Linked DNA regions of Astyanax mexicanus. The protein of the gene in region 1 purifies or fractionates together with the protein of each later gene. This does not show direct contact. Links are inferred from orthologs where the notes say so. Each region holds a gene or a part of one and is shown in the gene's direction. Other genes may lie near its edges.

Region 1 (7,106 bases):
TAATTTCAAAAACTAATTTCAGCAAGAACCACAGCAGCTAAACTCCGCTCGTTACAAGATGAATCAGCACCTCCATGCCTACAACCACATTTCATGCTGTTGAATAGGGGGCAGGTCTTTAGAGGTCAGAGCACAGCTGGAGGTCACGCTCCTCCAATCAGGCCACAAGGAGGAGTTTGCTCGGCACAAGGGGAAAAACGTGACTTCCACATGGCGCAGTGCATTGTATTTCCAAACCCTGGTCCTAGAGCAGTTACACACTGCACAATATTTAGTCTCTACACCAATCAAAACATAATTTTAGCCTCAAGGAAAACTTGTTACACTGAATAAAGGCTTTGACAGAACAGAAAACACTAGAGTCTAAAAACAAGCAGTCAGGAACCACTGGAAAAAGCAGATAAAGCTAAAAATATAAAGACAAACAAGTAAAGCTAAGTTAACCTAGATCAAAGAAAAACTCAAGCTTGCTCAATCATATTATTCTGTGAAACTGACTTTCTTTAAAGCTCCTTCTGAGAAACTATTTTGTAAGCACCTAATGTTACATACTTCACTTCTGTGTGAAATGACATTGCACACTGCAAATGCACATTTTAAGATTCAGATGTTTTATCATTGTATAAAAAACATTTTTTAAACATATTTTTCAATTTAACCCCAAACAGACATTTACAAAGGGTAAAGAATATAACTCGACAAACATTCAGGTCGGTTGAGCCTTGATCGTGGCTCTATATGACTATACACTATTTGTACTGAAATGATTAGAAGCTCTATGAGCAATATATGACATTAACACACATTTTGAGATCCGTCTTACAGTTTTAACACTCATTTTAAGGTGAGTTTCATTCATTTGGAAAGCATTCTCTCAACTCTTGGGTATTAGCCAGGCTACTGCAGGTGCTGTAAATCGTCTGTGTGACAGGTTGGCACTGCGGCAGTGTCTCTCCAGTTCTTTTTCACCCCAGCACTTCTTTAACTCTCTGTAATACATTTCAGATTATCTTTTGCTACGTAATGTTTGTCACTTTTTATGCGTCTGTTTTGCTTTTGTATTGTGCTAGTTGTAATTCATTTTTTACTGGTAAAACCTTAAATTGCATACGTCTTTATTGCAAGTTTTATCTGCTATTTTTTTTAGCAGTAACATCAGGTCTCCAGATCTGAGGCCATTCTGAGTAGCCATTTTGCCAAGATGACATACCCCGAGTGTAAATTTGACTGGTCATATGTTACAATTAACTTGCATGAAATTGCACTCTGTCTGAAATAGCAAAACTATAGATTTTAACATCAATAACATTAAATTTATTATAGTACAAGTAAATTTTTTAATTAGTACATATTTATCTATTTATATTATAGAGATTTAAACACATATCTGAAATACAGTTCTAGCCAAAACATTATATATATTTTGAATTAGCATTTGTTCTAGTCAGAATAAATTTACAAATATGTGAACCTGGACTTTTTTACCAGACAGAATTTACCTACAGTGGAGATATCTGGAATTACAACTCTTACCAGCCAATGAGTAATTACATATAATTGTAACTTCTCTTCTAACTACTAAAAGAGTGAAATTTTAGTTCGAAACGGATGGTAGAACATGCCTAGTCAGAATTAAATTACTAGCTAATTTTTAATGTTTAACATTCCATAGCTTATCTCTGTAATAGAGTCGCTTCTAGTAAAAAACGACATAAAATACCTAAATGTTCTTTATTACATGTTTTAACATGTCTGAGTTAATATCTGAGTGTCAGAGTCTGTCATTTGAGACTAAAACTGGGGGGGCTTCAGCCGAGGCAGCAGGGCGCCACCACCACCACCACATGCTCCACAGGGCCCACGTTTCACTCAACACAGATTATGGAGCGCAGCACCTCTTCACCCCTCTAAATATAAAACTCCTCTGCGTTATTTTTCTGATGATAAACCTCTAGAGAGACAAATGGAGCATGTGTTGTAGTTATGCTGCCTGTTAAGAGTATTGGGTGCAGGTTAGGTTAGCTCGCTTAGCTTAGCTACGTCAGTGCAAACAGAGCAGCTAGTTAGCCTGGTGGCTAACGCTAATGGCTCGCGCCATACTGTATTAGCGTTAGCTTGTCGCTAGCTAACTAACCTAGCAACCGCACAATTTCCAGGGTAGCTAGACAAACTTAGCTATGTACGTTGATCTGGCATTTTTTTACATTTAGAATTTTGTAATTAAATTAGGATAAATAAGGCCAAACCCGTGTTAAAGGGGAGGTTCGGATAGAACTGCGTAGTGAAATGAGAGCCGTAGCGAGCTTAGCTAACATTTTTTTTTCATTGTCATTGAAGATAGTTATAAGAAGATAGTTATAAAACCAGCACAGACTACTCTTTAGTAGTTTAGGGTATCAGTGATCAGATCAGAGCGCTGATTAAAGCGAGGCTGAGCTGATCAGGGCTGGAGCTATTTGCTCCGTCGTTACTGCAGCACAAATGAATGAGTGACTGACTGACTGACTGGAGGGAGGGGGAGGGACGCTGCCATACTGAGCCACAGCAGAGAGACACAGAGAGATACGCACAAGTTAGCCAGCTATCTGATCATCTAAATCACCAAACCAACCTTTTAACAGAATCATACTGTTCAGTTTTATGTCTATTTTATATGAGCTGACTGACACGCGTGCCAAAGCCTAGAGCATTAACCCAGCTCCTCAGCTAACCCACAGATCTATCTGGTTATCTAGCTTCATCCACACATCTCGCTTTAGAGAATTCGCCCCCAAACCTCGGGATGGTGCGGAGGTCCCCGGTTCCTTTGGTCTCGTCCTGCCGGGAGAACCACACCTCCAGCAGCTTCTCGGTCCCCTCAAAGAAGTGTGCACCGTTGTCCTCCATCGTGAGACAAACAAGACACCAACAACAGAAAAAAAAATAAAAAAAAATAAACCTAGCTCGGGTCTAGCTTATTAAAGTCCTTTTTGCTGGGTAGATAACTTATAGAGATCTTGGTACAGTCCTTGAGCAGTCCGGGTGTTGATTTCTTGGGATGCTTTAAATGATTTTTACCGTCTTCCCCTTTTACAGAGAACACCGTGAGCGAGTGCTAGCTAATATCGCCGGCCATACTGTGTAAGCGCGGACTACTGGGTGCGCGGAGCTTTTATAACCTAGCCGCTGACGTAAAAAATAAGACAGACCAATCATACATAAAGTCCCGCCCTTAGCCCGCATAGGATTGGCCAAGGTTTCTGCCACTCCGAGGACAAGCGTTGCGTAAAGGCGTCTTCTCAAGGCGGGCTGCAGTTCTGACAGCGCAGTGAAGAAGTTTGATTCAGTGAAGTAGTTAACCGATTCAACAAAACAGTCCACTCAAAAGAACCGATTCAGTTGATTTTAACGTACTTCAATTAATACGGCACAATTTTAGCAGTCCAATTCTAGCTTAAAAAGTATTAAAGGTATTTTTGTATTGTCCTAACCTTAGGTTATATTACACACACATAAATACTGCGCATATCCTACAAAAGAATCATGGGAATCATTTCGAGTGATGCAGACGCATAAAAAAGGCAAGCAGCGTTGATAAGAGTAAAAGGACAGTTTAAAACACAAACACAAGACTGTTTTTCACGTAGACACAGAAAAAAGGGAATGTAAATCCAGAAAAGGCATTTTTTATTTACAAAAAATGCGCAATATAATTCCCCTGGGTAAACTCGAAAATTCTTATTTATAATGTTATGACAGTCATATATAAATACAGTCTTTTGTGTAGTTTTACTGCAAAGAGTGGCTGAACAGTTTTTTTTATCACATTAAATAGCATTATAGGGAATGGTTTCCATTCCATTGTCTTAGTTTTATTGTCTCAGTTTAAGGGTTCGGCGCATGTGAGCAAAAAAACAAATAAAACATACGATATGCAATATGAATTCTCTCCCGTCCCTGCAATGTTTTTTTTTTCTGAGAGCGCGAACATGACTACGCAAGTGCGATCACCGCGGCGTGCTGTGCGGATTGTAGTTCCCGCAGCGCGCTGATCTCACGGCGCTCGGCGGGCCTCCTGCTGCGGGAAGACTACATTTCCCAGAAAGCGTTTCGCACCAGCAAAAAAACGCTCAACGAGCCAGTGAACATTAAGCGGAGCAGACCAAAATCCCAAACAAGGAAATGGTGGGGGAATAAAGCGATCAGATTATTTAATTAATGCACGTAATAATTAATATTTTATTTTATCCTAAATTAAGAAGTATTTATGGGTCGCGATGGACTACGACTTCAAAACGAAGCTCGCCGCGGAGAGGGAGAGAGTGGAGGATCTGTTCGAATATGAAGGTTGCAAAGTGGGTCGCGGCACCTACGGGCATGTTTATAAAGCCAAGCGCAAAGACGGGTAAGACAGCGAGCTAAAACGGCCTGCTTTCACTCATTTCTCCGCTCCACGCGCACTTTCTCCTTCGCGAGGAGAAGCGCGGAGGCGAGTGTGTGTGTGTGTGTGGTGGGGGGTGTAAGAAACCGAGCTCGAGTCTGGGACTGGTTTTGTTTTTATACACACACACGCGCGCGCGCACGCACATCTATAAACACACACACACAAAACGGTCCTCCCCCCAGAACGACACCGCGCTGCTGCTGTTTATTTTACAGTGTGAACGTGAAGTGAAATACACTACAGCTCAGAGGGGATGACTGTCTCTCTGCACGTGAAGCTGTTTTACAACGCAGGGTTTTACTCTGGAGTTGGAGCATTCATGCCTCACAAGGCTGTCCAATAGGAGTGATCCCTGCCTCGCTCTTATTGGACAGTCTCAGGCTCAGGCTTTGAGTTATCACTTGTCTAAATGTGCAATACTCGAGCTGCTTTAGTAAGAAATAAGAAAAAGCACCAGTCTTGGTGTCAAAAGCAGGACTTAACGTCTTTAAAGTGTGACCGGAATTATCTGATTTTTTAATTTTTAAATTTTATTTCTATTTTTGTCCGATACATCATCTCAAAGACGCCTTGTGCTGCGGACATCACCCCTTGAAGTGATGTGGGGAGAAAGTGCAAATACCCACCCAGAGAGAGCAAGGTCAGTTGTGCTCTCTCAGGGCTCCGGTAGCCGATAGCAAGCTGCATAAACAGGATTCGAACCAGCAATCTCCTGATCATAGTGACAGCGCCTTAGTCAGGAATTATCTGATTGTAATATAACTACAGGCTGGAGAGAGAAGTTTCATTGTTACTGTTAGAAGTCTAAACTCAGCAGCAGTGTTAGAACATGTTATAACTACTGATGTGTCCAGATGCTGTCATTCAGTATTCACTGGAATAGCTAAATGGATCATAATACTGTCTAGTTCAGGGGTGACCTACCAAACCCTTGTAGAGAGGTTCAAAAAGATTTACAATTCAAGATGAACTGGGCCATGGTTTAGTAGATCTGGACCAAGACTACCTTTTTTGCGGGTCCTTTGGTTCCTTAAATCTGCTATTTTTGTTTGGACCAAACTGGCAAGTCACTTTAAGAAGGACTGAGCTGTGATGGCTAGATGACCTGTTCAGAACATCTATAGAGAGATTGTCAAAAAGCTTTTGTTTTGTTATCTTGTGGGTAGTTATGCTTTTTACACAGGTGGGTCGTGATGTGGAAAAGTTTGAAAACCTCTTTTGTACAGTTTTAGAGTGTCCAATACACATACTCAAGAAAACACATTATATTGAATCAAGCATTCAATTATTTATTGTTTCTTCCAAAATCATGGGTATTTAAAAGAGTTATTCTAGCTTTTGCTGAAGTAACATTCTCTCTTTTGTGCAGGGAAGGTGTATCTACTGTCAGAGATGTACCTACTAACCACACAGCCATTCTGGTGATGACACTAGTGTAACATAAACCTAGTTAAATGAAACTCAGATAGTAATTACATGTTACTTAACTAATTATAACCATAATGTGTACAAAGCAGATTCCAAATAAATGCAACATTTTAAAAACTAACATTAGAAGCCCATTAATTGTAAACCCCCTCTGAAGATGTTCTTTTCTCTCTCTTAGACTCTCAGATTTATGTTATTTAAACAGACAGCTAGTTTCTGTTTAAATATCATCATATTAAACATCTAAAAATAATAATACATACACTGAGATGTCTAAGGCTGATAAAGTTATCTGCTATATTTCATGTAAATGCACTATATGGACAAAAGTATTGGGACACCTGCTACTTTATTGTTTCTTCTAAAATTAAATTTAGCGTTTTTTGGAGTAATTGTCTCTACTGTGCAGGGAAAGCTATCTACTAAATTTTGGAGTGCATTCAGCAGCAAGAGCAGTATTGACCTGAGGTTGGATGATCACCAGTCTACTCCATCCACAGCTCCCCACCTCATCCTTAAAGTACTATATGGAGATGAGCTCACACTTGACATGATATGACATGATGCCAACAGGTTCATTTTTATCGGCTCCAGATAAACAGTCCTATTCCATTGGCAGTAGTTCTTTACATGGACTAGACTGTGTCTGCATTTGCTGTGACGGCAAAGGATGCATTATTTAGAAACAGTGTTTACAAACATTCAGACATATCAAAATCTGAAAATTCCAATGATTCTGATATACATCAATTGGTCATATAATTAAAAGCACCTGTTTAATATTGTGTAGGCCCCCCATCATTCCTCTAAAAACATGTCTGACCCATAAGAGCATTCACTGTACAAGACCTCTGTAGGTGTTCTGCACCAAGGTGTTTAGCACAAAGACTAACATTAGCAGGATCTCTTTTTAGTCCTTGGTTCACTGATTGTCCTTCCTTAGAGCACATATGGTAGGTGCTGACCACTTCCTGCTGGCAACAATCCACAAGGTCTACCTGCTGTTTTGGAGATGTTCTGACCAAATCATCTGGCAATCACAGTTTGGTCCTTCTTAAAGTGACCTTAAAGTGCTTTCACACTTGCCCTGTTTGGCCTGGGCTTTTGGACTTCTCAGTTTGGTCCAAACAAAAATATCAGGTGTGAACAACCAAAGGACCAGTCCAGAAAAGGTGGATCGTCTACATTGTGAAAACACGTTTCTAGATGTTTCAGGCTTTCGGATCAAATGTATGCGATGACTAAAATGACAACT
Region 2 (7,826 bases), on another chromosome or scaffold:
TCGACTGCTAAAATACAACGCTCAAAATTCGCTGTCAACATCCGGGACACACAGGATGAGCAATCGATTCAGTCTTCAATCGAGCCAACAACCAGCCAATCACATCACGCTCCGAAGATCACGTGACAGGTAGCGCCTCACGGCTCAGAGCCGCTCAACGCGAGTCACAGCCCCCTCCGCTGCTCCTCTCGAGTAGGTGAGTGTAACCCTGCGTTCACACTGGAACGCGACGAGTCGCTTGTGTCGCCCAGCGTTTGTCGCTTGTGGGCGTGTCAAGCTCAACGCCCGCGTTTATCATGGTCCAGCCTCCAACAAGAAAAAAGGCACAAAAAAGGAATCACTTGGCCACTTTATTCTCCAGCTATAACTCCCAAACTTGCTGGACTCTTGTGCGTTTCTGTGATTTAACTGCGCTGGAAACGCAGCCGTTCCCACAGACTGATGTGGGTCCACCCCGTTCAACAGAAAGAACCGGGAAAGAAACTAGAAATTCAGAGAGCAGGAGCTTGAGGACGTCGAACCGCCTTGTTTGTGATTGGTCCAAAGAAAAGCTAGGAGCCAATCGGGTTAGAATGTCGCTTCACCGCGTCATAACTCATTTGCATAAAGTTGAGAAAAATTCATCTCCGTGTCGCTTGTCGCTCTGTCGCTTTGTCGCTTGTCGCCTCTCGCGTGTCGCGGCGACAAATCGCGCCCTGCCATAGGAAATGAATGGTCGCCTGTCGCTTTGTCGCTTTCCAGTGTGAACGCAGGGTTAAACAGCTGAAAGAGGGCATTTACCTCACCACTGTGGCCATGTAATATCACTTAAACGGTGTAGAAATCCTCACTTTAACCACGGTTTGCTCTGTGGTTTGTAAACATAATAAATTAAGATAGATATCCAGATATACCTTGTTAAACTAACTAACTAAATAAATAAAGCTCCTCTGTTCATTTCAGAAAGAGCTTCAAACACGAACACTAGATCAATTATTTATAAATACAGCCAGACTGCGTGGAAGATAATTACTACTGTAGAATCTGTAGAAGTTTAAACTGCAGAGCGAAGCAGAGCCGCGGATACGAGGTATAAACGCGCTCCGCTGCTTAGCTGGATACACCTGAACATTCGTTCTCAAACCTCCGCAATTTCAGATCATTACCTTATTTCATTTAAATAGCATCTTAGTCATAATATACGTACATCCCTTAAACATAAAATAGAGAGACAGAAAAAGCTCGCACCGTGGTACAATGATCAAACTCGTACGTCAAAGCAGTTAGTACGAAATTTAGAGAATATTTTCACTCTGCGTGGAAAGACCGTCTTGTTAAATATAGAAAAGAACTTAATAAAACCATAGAGCTAATATAATCCTAGAGCTCTCTTTAGTGTTATTTCCAAATTAACTAAAAAACAGACAGGTACTGAACCTCAGACCCCAGCCATTCACACCAGCAACGCTTTTATGGACTTCTTCGATAGTAAAATTGAAAACATCGGGATAAAATTAAACAGATAAACAGCACTTTCTCTCTGTCATCTGATGCGGCTGATCTAGAACAAAACCCTGTTACGGAAGTTAGGTTGGAAGCCTTTAACCCATTCCACAGCTAGAACTAGAGAAAATCATCTCCTCTTCAAACAGCTCAACCTGCACACTTGATGCAGTTCCCACAAAATTACTAAAACAGGTACTACCAGATATAATTAAACCTCTGTTAATAATAGTAAACTCATCGCTCACCCTAGGCCATGTACCCAAAGCCTTTAAAATAGCTGTAATTAAACCTCTGATCAAGAAACCAAATCTTGATCCTAGTGTACTGTCTAACTATAGACCTATTTCAAACTTACTGTTTATTTCTAAGATTTTAGAAAAAGCTGTGGCCCAACTACTTTGCTCTTACCTTAAATTTTCATTGTTATGCGGATGAAACGCAGCTCTTCATTTCAGCCAAACCTGATGACAGAGTGAGATTAAAGAAAATCATGGATGTCGCACAACTTCCTCCTATTAAATAGTGATAAAACAGAAGTTCTCCTAATATGCCCAAAGCTGCTAGAAATAAATGATCAGACTTAATGCTAAATCTGGCCGACTTCTCCATCACACCTGGTTCAGCAGCTAAAAACCTTGGAGTTATTATAGATTCAGATCTAGCATTCGATAAACAACATATTTAATGTTGCTAGAACAGCTTTTCTACACCTCCGTAATATTGCCAAGCTAAGAAATGCCCTATCACTGCATGACGCAGAAACATTAGTACATGTCTTTATTACCTCAAGGCTAGATTATTGTAATGCGCTACTGTCTGGATGTTCCTGCAGTAACTTAAATAAACTTCAGCTAGTTCAAAATGCTGCAGCCAGGGTCCTAACTAAAACTAGAAAATGTAAGCATATTAATCTAGTCCAATCATCACTGCACTGGCTTCCAGTCAAATTCCGCATGGACGATAAAATTCTCCTGTTAACGTATAAAGCCCTACACGGGCTCACTCCTGAGTATTTGCGAGACCTCATCTCCTATTATGAACCACTGCGATTACTTAGATCTCAGGGTGCTGGTTTCTTAGTAGTTCCTAAAATTCATGCCTCCATGTCTATGTTACTTTCTAGATCTGCCGGAGACATTAGCCACACTCTGATAATGTTTTATATTCTCTGTTTTACATAAATCCAGTCAAAACTAATTCCATCTTTCTGCCTTCCTCCGAGTTACTGACTGCCCACCTGTCTGACCCAATACCGATGGATCTTGGACCCTCAGGCTCTCATGTCCCCTGTCTGGCCAGACTGGAAGTTTCTGAAGTCAGCTCTTCTCCATCCACCACAAATGCATTTTGTTGAACCAACATGACTTTATTATATTATTTTAAAGCTATTATTTTATGTAAAATATAGTATAACTATTACAGGAGAGCTTTGGCATACTTCATATGAAGATTGTATTTTTGCAAGCTGATCTATTATTTACGTAAAACATTTTGTATATCCCTAAACTGCCTAGTACTTTACATAAACATTTGCAGAAAGTTTTAGAAACTTTTCACACAGTTTGGAATCAATCAGTAATTCCTGGTATCCAGGATCAAGTTTTCACATTTTTCCAAGTTTTCCAGCTTATAGAGTTATCAAACCCCTGAAGGAGTGTGTAATTGGGAAAAACACCAATATGCAGACCATGAGGGGGACTTGTGCTCTATCTATCTTTGCCTAATACTTGCAAATTAAAGTATGATTGTCACTCAAAATGTTAATGAACATGAAATAAATAAATAGAAATTTAAATTTTAATAAGTTTTAAGTGTGCTTTGTTTGTGTCATTTTTATAAACTAACTAATCTCCGGACATCAGCTGGGAAAGGGCGAATGCATAGGCCTATTAGTCAAATAGAAACGTTAGTAAAGACCCTCTGAAAATAAAAGAAAGTTTAAGACCTTAAGGGAAAAAGATCTGCGTTTTAAAACTGGAAGACAGGATAAGCAGAAATCCAGCTTGTTTGGTGGGAGGAAGTGGAAGCTGCCCATTTCAGAACCGGAAGAACCTTCATTAGGATATTTTGGTACAGTGAGTGGAAGAGTCAGTGTTCAGGACTTCAATCATGGTTCTGGAAAACTGGAATGTCTCCGCTATAGATGGAAGGTTCTGGTACCAGCTTGGCAAACTAAAGTAAAGGAGAAAAGAAAGGAGGACATGGACAGTAAAGAGGACAGCCAGCAACAGTAATATAACAAAAATGACTAAAGATACATTTAGTGAGCGTATAAACATGCATTTAAATAATGAGATAGCTAATTAGTATATTGTTTGTTAAATGTTTATGTATTAGCTTCAGCAAATATGTACATTAAACAGTCACATTGGCCCCAATGACCCACTGCATGAGGACGTTTTTTAAAATAACCATTGTGAACCAGATTCAGAATAAGGAAACAATCCAAAACCATCCTATTCTAACAACAAAGCTACATCTGGTTACAAGTTGAAAAACTCTTCAACAAAAATACCAGTAATATCTGGACACTCTTATCAAATCAGCAATGTCTTTAAACTCTACTGATCTATTATTGCTAGGACATAAATGTGAAGTGGCCACAAAAAGGTTTTAAAAGAAACACACACAAAAAAACATTTGCATATATGTTCATATAATTCTTACTTTTTCTGATTCATTCTTAGATCTAAATCATAATTTTGTAACCGAGAAATCATGACAGAACCAATTTACTCACTTTTGCCAGCAATATGAGAGAATCTTTTCAGCACAGCTCAGTAAGAATGTCATTCAGCTTTTTGTGGTTTTACTAAAGCCATCAAGGCTATAAGATGAATCTTATCTGTTTATCACATTCACACAAACAATAAGCTTCTGTAACAAACTGCTGATTATTACTATAAGTTTTATTTTTTATCTACCAATAGTTCTAAGCTTCAAGAAAGAGTCACCCAAGAGTCAAATAAACTAAATTTTCCGCAGGTGCTGTAGGTTTTATCAGTCAGTGAATAACGATTGTTCTTTATGTTTTAAATTGACTGAATGTATCAGAATAATGTTGTTAAGAGGTAATGAAAGCTTATAGCCTGCAACAGGCATCATACAAGCATTTGGGTTTGTTCAACAACCTAAAACAGACTTGTTTATGGAGTTTTGACTGTACCTTTTCAGATGGGATTCTGCCTACCACCTCTTTACCACTCGCCATGAGCGCTCCCATCACAGAGTAGGCCACAATACTGCCGGGCAGAAAAACATACTGAGTTGCCGCCATTCTTTCGAATTGGTCAGTTCTTCGCGCCTGACACTCTGGCTGAAACTCCTATTTTTTAGAAAGGTAAACAGGAGGAACTACAGTTTGTATGTTTTGAAATGGTCTTATTTTTTTTACACTTTTAACATTATTTATGGGATATTTGGATAATTTTAAACCTATTTAGTTAAATAAATAAATTAATAATAAAACAAACAAAAACATAGCTGTAACAAACAACAGTCAGGTGACCCCTAAAATATTTAATGAAGGCAAACTGAGACCAACAATGATGGGGTTGGGGTGCTTTATAAACGAAAGCTCCTTTGAATTTTGGGAACTACTAGTAAACCAGCACCCTGTGATTTAAATAATCATGGTGGTTTATAACAGGATATGAGCTCATAACAATAGTCTAGCCTTGATGTAATGAAGGCATGTACTAATGTTTCTGTGTCATGCTAAGATAAAGAATTGTTTAGCCTGATAATGTTACAAAGATGCAAGAAAGCTGTTCTTAGATATGTGTTTATCGAATGCTAGATCTGAATCTATGATAACACCAAGATTTGTTGGCAAGATTTAACAGTCTGATCATTTCTTTTTAGCAGCTTTTGGCGTAATAGAAGAACGTCGGTTTTATCACAATTATGTGGTATTGATAATGAAGCATCGGCTAAAAGCGCAGTATTTCAGGATGCCGAGGGTGAACGAAGGTGGGCTATTTGACTAAAGTTCGTATTTCTTATTATGTTTCACTACACCCCAATTCCAGTTCACACAGCATTTCTCCTTTACCGCATTTTCGCCTCACACTAAAGATAGTGTCTTCCTGACCTGTAGGACAGGCTATAGCTGTGTATAAGAAATACATCAACTTTTTGAGAGAGATTTTATGATTAATTTAAAGAATTTGGTTTACGTGGAGGTGGAATAATCTTTTTAGCAACCAAAGCTACTTGGGACACAAACAATCGATAAGATAAATATGATATAACGTTTACATTTAAATAGCTAAAACAAATATGTATTAATGCATCAATATGTAATAAACTATTTAGAAGTTTTAAATGACTTTTTTTATTTACGTTTTTTAAAACAGTGTTTTTCTGTTGTTGCCTCAAGACAACATTATTATAAACTCTCTCTCGCTCTTTCTTTCTTTCTTTCTTTCTCTCTCTCTCTCTCTCTCTCTCTCTCTCTCTCTCTCTCTCTCTCTCTCTCTCTCTCTCTCTCTCTCTCACTCTGATATTGACATAAAAATAAATAGGAATTCCCGGATGTTTTGCGCAATTTGGAATTTTTACATCAAGAGAACATACCTGGGAAAATACGTCTCTTTCAGCGAAACCACTACATACCTTCCGCACGCACAAAAATATATTAATAAAATGTAAAAAATTAACAATAAAAAACAGTTTGAATTCCAAGCTCATCTGTCTGCTGATCGAGCTCGGTCACAGCCAACCAACCGCGTTAGAGCACACTCAGCGCGCTGGACCAATCACAGCGCGTGTTACTGTTTCCAGTATGGCGCCGGTGGTAAGCGATTGAATTGAAAAGCAACATTAAATCTAATCTTCAGTCAAAGAATAAAATCAGGTAAATCACCCTTGTACTATATTTATACTATAATGAAGATAATAATGGTAATAAAAGGCTGTTTAGATATCAGTTTAATCGTTAATATATGCGCGCGGTGTGTGTTTCTCTGTGCTCCTCTGGTTGGTGGGTTTGTTTGTTGATGTTGAGACACTCACTGTTCTGCGATTATTTATGTTATTATAATAACTGTATCGTTGAATGTGGGGTATTTAGAGTGAGAATTACACTGAGGTATCGCTGCGTGTGAAAGATATTTTATTAATAAACTCTGGAAAGTCATTTTCCTACTTAGTGTGATTTTTCTTTTATTACGTAGCGGTATATATCTAACGTTAACATGCTCCATATTTCTCATTTAGGTCACTATTGAGAACGTGTCCGAATCGTAAAGTGAAATTGGAACGTGATTTTGAGGGCACTATGAACTCCCACAATACTGTTTATGCTGTCTATACACTAACGTACAAGTTTTTGAAAAGACTCTGAAAATAAACATAAATAAATCATAGTCTGACACCCTGTCACATTTAAAGAGAAGTCTCTCACTTTTTACAGATTTTTAGTCACATGATAAGATTTTGCAAAGACTGGGGATCACTATTTACAAGACTGCAACTAGATTGTTTCTGAGATCATTTCCCATCATGCTTCTGCTGGAGTTTAGATACAAAACATACTACATATTAATCTAAAAATAATCTGTATATCAATACTGTGAGTTATCAGAGACCCACAACCTTTGTCCCCATCAAAAGTTTATTTTTTTGCCGCACTGTTAGTGTGTTTGTTTTGTGTTTAAGCTTATAAGCTTCTTTTCCCCTATTTTTTGCAACAACTTTGAATATTTAAGAAACACAGTTTCCCTGTTTTACATTTTCCTTTGTTTTAGATAGATTTAATGTAATACAAAACATCATTCTTGCTAAATGTGTATTTATTAAATAACACTGCACAATAAGGCAAAGTAGTGCAAAATGGAATAACTGTAAATATAATGACTTTAAAGTGCTTCCTGTGTTTAAAATACTGTACATATTAAAGTTAGAGCAATATAAGGTATTTTAACTGCAGAATGTGTTCTTTTTCAAGTCGTTTGTAAACAGTTACGTAAAATATTATTGCTTTGCCTCTTCCGTAGCTCTCCTATTGGTTGTTGATATTGTTCACGTCACTATTTGCGTGAGCCAAGTATCAAGATTTACGATAACATTAAACACGGTTGATTTTATCTATTTTATCACGGTTGAATGCCAGAATGAGACAAAGACTGACTAAAACTTTTAATCCTAATCCTAACATCTTTGCAGAATGAAAGTGGTGAACCTGAAGCAGGCCATTCTACAGGCATGGAAGGAGCGCTGGAGCGACTATCAGTGGGCCATCAACATAAAGAAAAACTGCCCCAAAGGCGCCACGTGGGATTACCTCAACCTGGCAGGTGGGACTAGGATTATTTCAGTGCCAAAATATACCAGAGTAG
Region 3 (6,980 bases), on another chromosome or scaffold:
GTATTTTTAATTTACAACCAATTACAGATGTCAGACCAAAAAAGCTTACTATAATAACATTTAACAAATAAATGTTCTATTGATTATCTCTCTCCAGAGAAAATAGTGCAGGGGCTCATCTGAAATTTGAATATATATATTAGGTCATTAACTGGGTACACTGCTGTTACAATTTTAGCTTTGGGAGTAATAGGACATGATGAATAAAAACAAAAAGCTTGTCGTTTCATATATTCTCCCGTGAATAGCATGAGTTAAAGTCATCAAAAATACATTGTTTAAACAACTTACTTATTAGTCTAATTAGTATTTTTTTTAATCCAAAAGGTTGATATCACCAACCTTTATAGTAGAAAAGGAAGGTGCAACAGGGAAGGATTTAATACTATTTTGAACCAGCTGAAGTAAGGGAATAGGAACTGCTTTACAAATGTATCATACCCCTTGCTGGAGACAATTTTATACATTTCAGTACATTTTTCCATGGATAAAATGACCACCTGAATTTGATATGTTGAGAACAAAAGTTGTCGGCTCTAATGCTGCCGTATTACGACTTTATTCTCAAATTATTACGACTTTATTCTCCTAATATTAGACTTTACTCTTGCAGTGAACTGTTTTGATGCCCTAATGTCTTTTGTTGCTGTGTTTTCCAGTGCAGTGGGCGGAGCTAAGGTAAACTACCACGGTAAAGTTAGTTTCATTTTTGATATTCGACTTTTCGGCTCTAATAACTTCTGAACGGAGGATGGTAGCCAGCAGATACTTACATAATCAGGACAGTACGACCACAGAGAGTGACGCACACCCTTCCTTTTACTGTTTGGGTGAAATTTGCGCAACGCCCTTTTAGCGTTAATACCGAAAAACTAAGCGCACTTTTCCTGTCAGAATAAAATGCATGTACTTCTAGACCACCTCTACTTCTGTACACACTCATTTATTTACCTCCAAATCACTTCAGTGCATAAAAATGCCTATTAATGTTCCCACATAAGAATAGATGGCTTTAAGAAAAAAAAACACCAATAGCTCCATATCCTTAGGGTTCATACACATCAGAATAACGGGGATGTATACTTTGAGTCATGAGGAAAATTGCACACCCATTAATATTATGCAAAATGCTCTAATTTTTTATTATATTTTATATATTCACAAATTCAATAGCATTTCAGCAACTGTGTATGTCACAGCTAGGTGGCAGCAGACACGCACACCATTTATATTTTGGATACAGTGCCAATTCTAGTGAATATTACATTTTATATATTTGAAAAATCAATAGAATTTAAACCGAATTACACAGAACACTAAAAATAAGTGTGTATGATACAGCTAGGTGTCAGGAAACACAAACAATCTTTGAAATTTGGATACATTGCCAATTCTACTAATTATTAAATTATATACATTTTAAAATGTAATAGCTTTCAAACCGAATTACACAGAACAATAAAAACAAGTGTGTATGATACAGCTAGGTGGCAACAAACACACACACGCTTTATATTTATGATACACTGCCAATTCTACGAATGATTAAATTTTATATATTTTAAAATGTAGTAGCTTTCAAACCAAATCACACAGAATAATAAAAACAAGTGTGTATGATACAGCTAGGTGGCAGCAGACACACACACCATTTATATTTTGGATACAGTGCCAATTCTAGTGAATATTACATTTTATATATTTTAAAATTCAATAGCTTTTACACCAAATCACACAGAACAATAAAAACTAGTGTGTATGATACAGCTAGGTGGCAACAAACACACACACACACTTTAAAATTTGGATACATTGCCAATTCTATTAATTATTAAATTTTATATATTTTAAAATGCAATAGCTTTCAAACCGAATTACACAGAACAATAAAAACAAGTGTGTATGATACAGCTAGGTGGAAACAAACACACACACACTCTTTAAAATTTGGATACATTGCCAATTCTATTAATTATTAAATTTTATATATTTTAAAATTCAATAGCTTTACACCAAATCACACAGAACAATAAAACTAGTGTGTATGATACAGCTAGCTGTAGCATACACACTTGTTTTTATTATTCTGTGTAATTGAGTTTAAAAGCTATTGAATTTTAAAATATATATATAATTTAATAATATGTAGAATTGGCACTGTATCATAAATATAAAGCATGTGTGTTTGTTGCCACCTAACTCTATCATACACACTTATTTTTAGTGTTCTGTGTAATTCGGTTTAAATTCTATTGATTTTTTAAATATATAAAATGTGATATTCACTAGAATTGGCACTGTATCCAAAATATAAATGGTGTGTGTGTCTGCTGCCACCTAGCTGTATCATACACACTTGTTTTTATTATTCTGTGTGATTCGGTTTGAAAGCTACTACATTTTAAAATATATAAAATTTAATAATTCGTAGAATTGGCAGTGTATCATAAATATAAAGCATGTGTGTGTTTGTTGCCACCTAACTCTATCATACACACTTGTTTTTATTGTTCTGTGTAATTCGGTTTGAAAGCTATTACATTTTAAAATGTATATAATTTAATAATTAGTAGAATTGGCAATGTATCCAAATTTCAAAGATTGCGTGTGTTTCCTGACACCTAGCTGTATCATACTTATTTTTAGTGTTCTGTGTAATTCGGTTTAAATTCTATTGATTTTTTAAATATATAAAATGTAATATTCACTAGAATTGGCACTGTATCCAAAATATAAATGATGTGCGTGTCTGCTGCCACCTAGCTGTGACATACACAGTTGCTGAAATGCTATTGAATTTGTGAATATATAAAATATAATAAAAATTTTGAGCATTTTGCATAATATTAATGGGTGTGCAATTTTCCTCATGACTCAAAGTATACATCCCCGTTATTCTGATGTGTATGAACCCTAAGGATATGGAGCTATTGGTGTTTTTTTTTTTCTTAAAGCCATCTATTCTTATGTGGGAACATTAATAGGCATTTTTATGCACTGAAGTGATTTGGAGGTAAATAAATGAGTGTGTACAGAAGTAGAGGTGGTCTAGAAGTACATGCATTTTATTCTGACAGGAAAAGTGCGCTTAGTTTTTCGGTATTAACGCTAAAAGGGCGTTGCGCAAATTTCACCCAAACAGTAAAAGGAAGGGTGTGCGTCACTCTCTGTGGTCGTACTGTCCTGATTATGTAAGTATCTGCTGGCTACCATCCTCCGTTCAGAAGTTATTAGAGCCGAAAAGTCGAATATCAAAAATGAAACTAACTTTACCGTGGTTCAAAAACTGTGCAACAAAACATGATATATCTTTAAAAAATATATATCTTTTGTAATATAAGATATCTTTGTAATGGACGCAGGGTCTGAAAGGGTTACATTTACAATGTAGAAAATTACAAAAAAAGAAAGAAAGACTTTTGACTGGTACTATAGTTTACTATAGGTATACTAGTAAACTATTTTTGTGGTGTTCTGTCGAGTTGTGCTACCTTGTCAAACCTTGCTACCATAGTAGTATTTAAGGTAAAAAAAAGCACCAAATTAAACCATACTAGAGAATACTCCCAGCTGATAGGTAGGATAGATAGGTAGGATAGCTGATAGGTAGGATAGACGTGGTAGGCTAAATCACTGTATCAGGCAGGGTTAAAAAATAAAGTAATTTACGTGATTAGAACCCTATTTTTTTGTTTTATAGCTTATGATTATTTTTTTACTTACCGTTAATATTTTTTTACTGCTATTAAAAGTTTTAAAACATTAAATCAAGTTGTTTAATACTCCCAATAAAAACGTAATGAATTACATTACAAAAAAAATGAAAAATGTCCGTAAAAAAAGCACATATCTATGGATAGCATAACTCGACACAACACCCGGCTTTTAAACCTTCCGATTTAAATCCATATCAGGGTCTTTTAATTTGCCGGGTGTTTTCCCACAGTTCCGCTGGCTGTTGATTGGAGCGGGGCAGGGAGCGGAGCGTCGCTGGCTGTAAGCCGCTGTCGGGTATCGCTCGGTCGGATCGGGGACGGACGGACTCGGCCCGGGCTGCTATGCGGCTGGGACCATGGCGGCCTTCGGGATGTTGAGTTACGAGCACCGGCCCCTGAAGCGACCCAGACTCGGCCCTCCCGACGTTTATCCCCAGGACCCGAAGCAGAAAGAGGTCAGAGCCCGTCTTTACACACAGAGTCAGTCCACAAAGAGCCGGAGCGCTAGCCGGAGAGCTACGCTAACCTAGCTAACCGAGCACCACCAAACCCCCGGGCCTTCAGCAGCGCCCGCTAACCCGCAACAATACCGGCCTAACCGGGCTAAACCCGACCCGCCCGGTCCGCCACAGAGCCCGGCAGCAGGCTGAGATATAGCCCTGCCTGTGTAGCAGCGCTGTGTTCACTTTATATAAATAAAAACACGAACTGGACAATAATAAACTGCTCAGAAACAGAGCTGCTAACTTACTGCAATCCTGAGCGTTTTCCTACTCAACCCCCATCCAAATAAAATACCGAGGAAAAGAGATTAATATAAGGAGATTTGGGTGTTTCAGAAACGGCTAAAGTGCTTAAAATTATTAGGAAATTGACGTTAAAAACGAAATTTAATTCTGTGTCAGTTAACGCTGGCTGAGCTATCTGGGTTAGCTCGTTAGCTGAAATCTGTCGGCTGCTGTTTGTTGACAAGTCGTATCTAGGTTAGCTAACAGCTAGCTAACAGTAACTTGCTCACTGGCTATCTAACATAATTGATCTAATTTACACAAAGCTAAGCTAACATGCTTATATTATGTTTTTATATCGAAAACAACCGTAAACACAACGTTATATAAATCATATAATCCAAAGTTAGCACGCAGAGTGTGCAGTGGTAATATAACATTCCAGCAGGAACACCAAAAAATGCAAGTTGGTCTCGTTAAGTTTCCGTTTGTCTTCACTATATCCAGTGCTTCTAATTTGGCACTGTGCTGCTAAGCCTAAATGTTTGGTTAACCTAGACAAGTTTGCATTTTATTGGTGCAGCTTGAATCTCTAGGAGACCATCTTTAATGTGTCTGATTATCACATTAAAATCATGTCCAATTCATTCCTATATCTCGTATTCTTAAAGCCTATTGTGCCATTTTACAGAGATGGAGATGTAGCTAGCTAAGAAACAATACAGAAAATAAACATAGCGTTATATATATATCATATAATCCAAAATAATCCAAAGTAATAACTCACTACAGTTTAGAAATATACAACAAAATACAGTTATACAATCCCAGCAGGAATACCAACAAATGCAATTTGATCTCAGTAAGTTTTTATTTGTTTATTTATTCAATACTTCAAATTCGGCACTTTGCTGCTGAGCCTAAATGTTGGGTTGAGTTTCCATTTTTGGAGATCTTTGCCAGTGTTCTATTGGTGTGCAGATTGAATGGGTCTGATTATCACATTAAAAGTCAAGTCCATTTGATTCCTTTACCGGTCTTATAGCCTAACTAATGTGCACAGAGCAACAGAGATTTAGATTTAGGAAAAAAGAAGTGAAAGAAAAGAAACCTATAAAGCATAAGTGTTATAACATTTATTATTTTTAGTTTTATTTTTAAATTTTACATTTTTTTTAACTGAACTCTTTTTAATTCTATGTATTTTTTTATTGTCATTTTTTCCTTAATGTAATACTTGTTAACAGATTGTGATTGTTAAGTGTCAGAGGTGTTGCTCTCACCAAGTCAAGTTTGATCTTGTTCAGTTTCTGTTTTTTTGGAGATATGTGCTGGTGGTCTGTTGGTGTGCAGCTTTGAAGTGTCTGTGTGATCATGTATCTAACTAGCTTCTTGACTAACTGGATAATTATATAGGTTATATTACATTTATTATTTCAAACCATTTGTGTAGTTATGCAGTACTTCTTATCTGGCATTGTGCTGCGTGCTGAGGGTTAAATGTGCAAAACTTTTGAACATGCATTCATGCTGGTGGTGTGTTGATGCTTTAGTGCATCCATTAAGTTAATAGTTAAGTCTATTTTATTTACTGAGATTCAGATGTTGACAAACAATATTTTAAATGTGTTATCCAGAGTAAACAACCCAAAATGAGCAGTGGTAATGAACAACTCCCTTCAAGATGCATAAACACTAGGAATGCTGCGAAATTATTTATTTTGCATGTAACTGAACATAATGGAAACATGATCAAATAAAATGTTGTTTCAAAAATATTTATTGAACACTGAACAGTTTTGACATGTCATATTAAATTGACTTGTGTGATCAGATAGGTCTATGCATTGGTAATAAATACCCATCTAAAATCATTATCGAACATGAAAGACACTATAGACATTTTAGGTTAGTTTGTCTAATTGTGTGTATGACTAATGTGTTTGTTGACAAGTTGTGGCTACCTGACTACCTTTTTGCCTACTGTGCTATACTACACTACTGGTATTATTACTATTATTTGACACACAGTATGTTTGTTCATGCAGTACTACTAAATTTAAGGGCTTCTGAATGCAAATACTGTGTTAAATATGCTTATTTTTTGGAAATACATGACAGTGGTCTGTTGGTATGCATCTTGAATAATTGTATACCCTCACAATCTTAAGTGTGACTGTGGTGTCACTCTGAAAGTCAAATATTTTTTTTTGTAAAGCTCCTTTTGCAATTTAATATTCCTATGAAGTGGCTTCTCAGAGATTCACGTTTAAAACGACAGAATGAAGACCAAATGTGGAAGTGGTTAGGAATAGCTCCCTAAAAACTGCATAAATACCAAGACATTTTAGACCCATTATACATGTTTTATACGACAAAACGTTTTAAGATCTGTAGGTGGTCTGGATTGGAGTCTGGAAGACCATCCTGAGAGTCTTTCATGCTTACCTTGTTTGTTCCAGAGTTTTCAGTTTGGTTTGAAAGCAGATGTGAAAGGGGCTGCGAACCACAGTCCAGACCAAAGGACCAGAGTTTG

Evidence for each region. Proteins that work in one complex are often made in the same cells at the same time.
Region 2: the proteins of cdk19 (region 1) and med24 purify together in Homo sapiens (affinity purification with mass spectrometry; 6 studies listed by BioGRID and IntAct, counting the BioPlex papers as one, with this or other methods). This does not show direct contact. The link is inferred for Astyanax mexicanus from reciprocal best matches to the Homo sapiens genes CDK19 and MED24.
Region 3: the proteins of cdk19 (region 1) and med12 purify together in Homo sapiens (affinity purification with mass spectrometry; 10 studies listed by BioGRID and IntAct, counting the BioPlex papers as one, with this or other methods). This does not show direct contact. The link is inferred for Astyanax mexicanus from reciprocal best matches to the Homo sapiens genes CDK19 and MED12.

The regions. Positions count from the first base shown.
Region 1 is NC_064408.1:47,104,181-47,111,286, reverse strand, and holds the start of cdk19 (cyclin-dependent kinase 19), read left to right. Parts: upstream 1-4,103; 5' UTR 4,104-4,256; coding exon 4,257-4,384; intron 4,385-7,106. Other genes in the region: amd1 (S-adenosylmethionine decarboxylase proenzyme), read right to left, coding at 2,777-2,886.
Region 2 is NC_064422.1:21,445,748-21,453,573, reverse strand, and holds the start of med24 (mediator of RNA polymerase II transcription subunit 24), read left to right. Parts: upstream 1-4,804; 5' UTR 4,805-4,825; intron 4,826-6,185; exon of another isoform or gene 6,186-6,343; intron 6,344-7,653; 5' UTR 7,654-7,654; coding exon 7,655-7,784; intron 7,785-7,826. UniProt on the Homo sapiens protein: Component of the Mediator complex, a coactivator involved in the regulated transcription of nearly all RNA polymerase II-dependent genes.
Region 3 is NC_064409.1:69,523,136-69,530,115, forward strand, and holds the start of med12 (mediator of RNA polymerase II transcription subunit 12), read left to right. Parts: upstream 1-3,958; 5' UTR 3,959-4,072; coding exon 4,073-4,171; intron 4,172-6,980. UniProt on the Homo sapiens protein: Component of the Mediator complex, a coactivator involved in the regulated transcription of nearly all RNA polymerase II-dependent genes.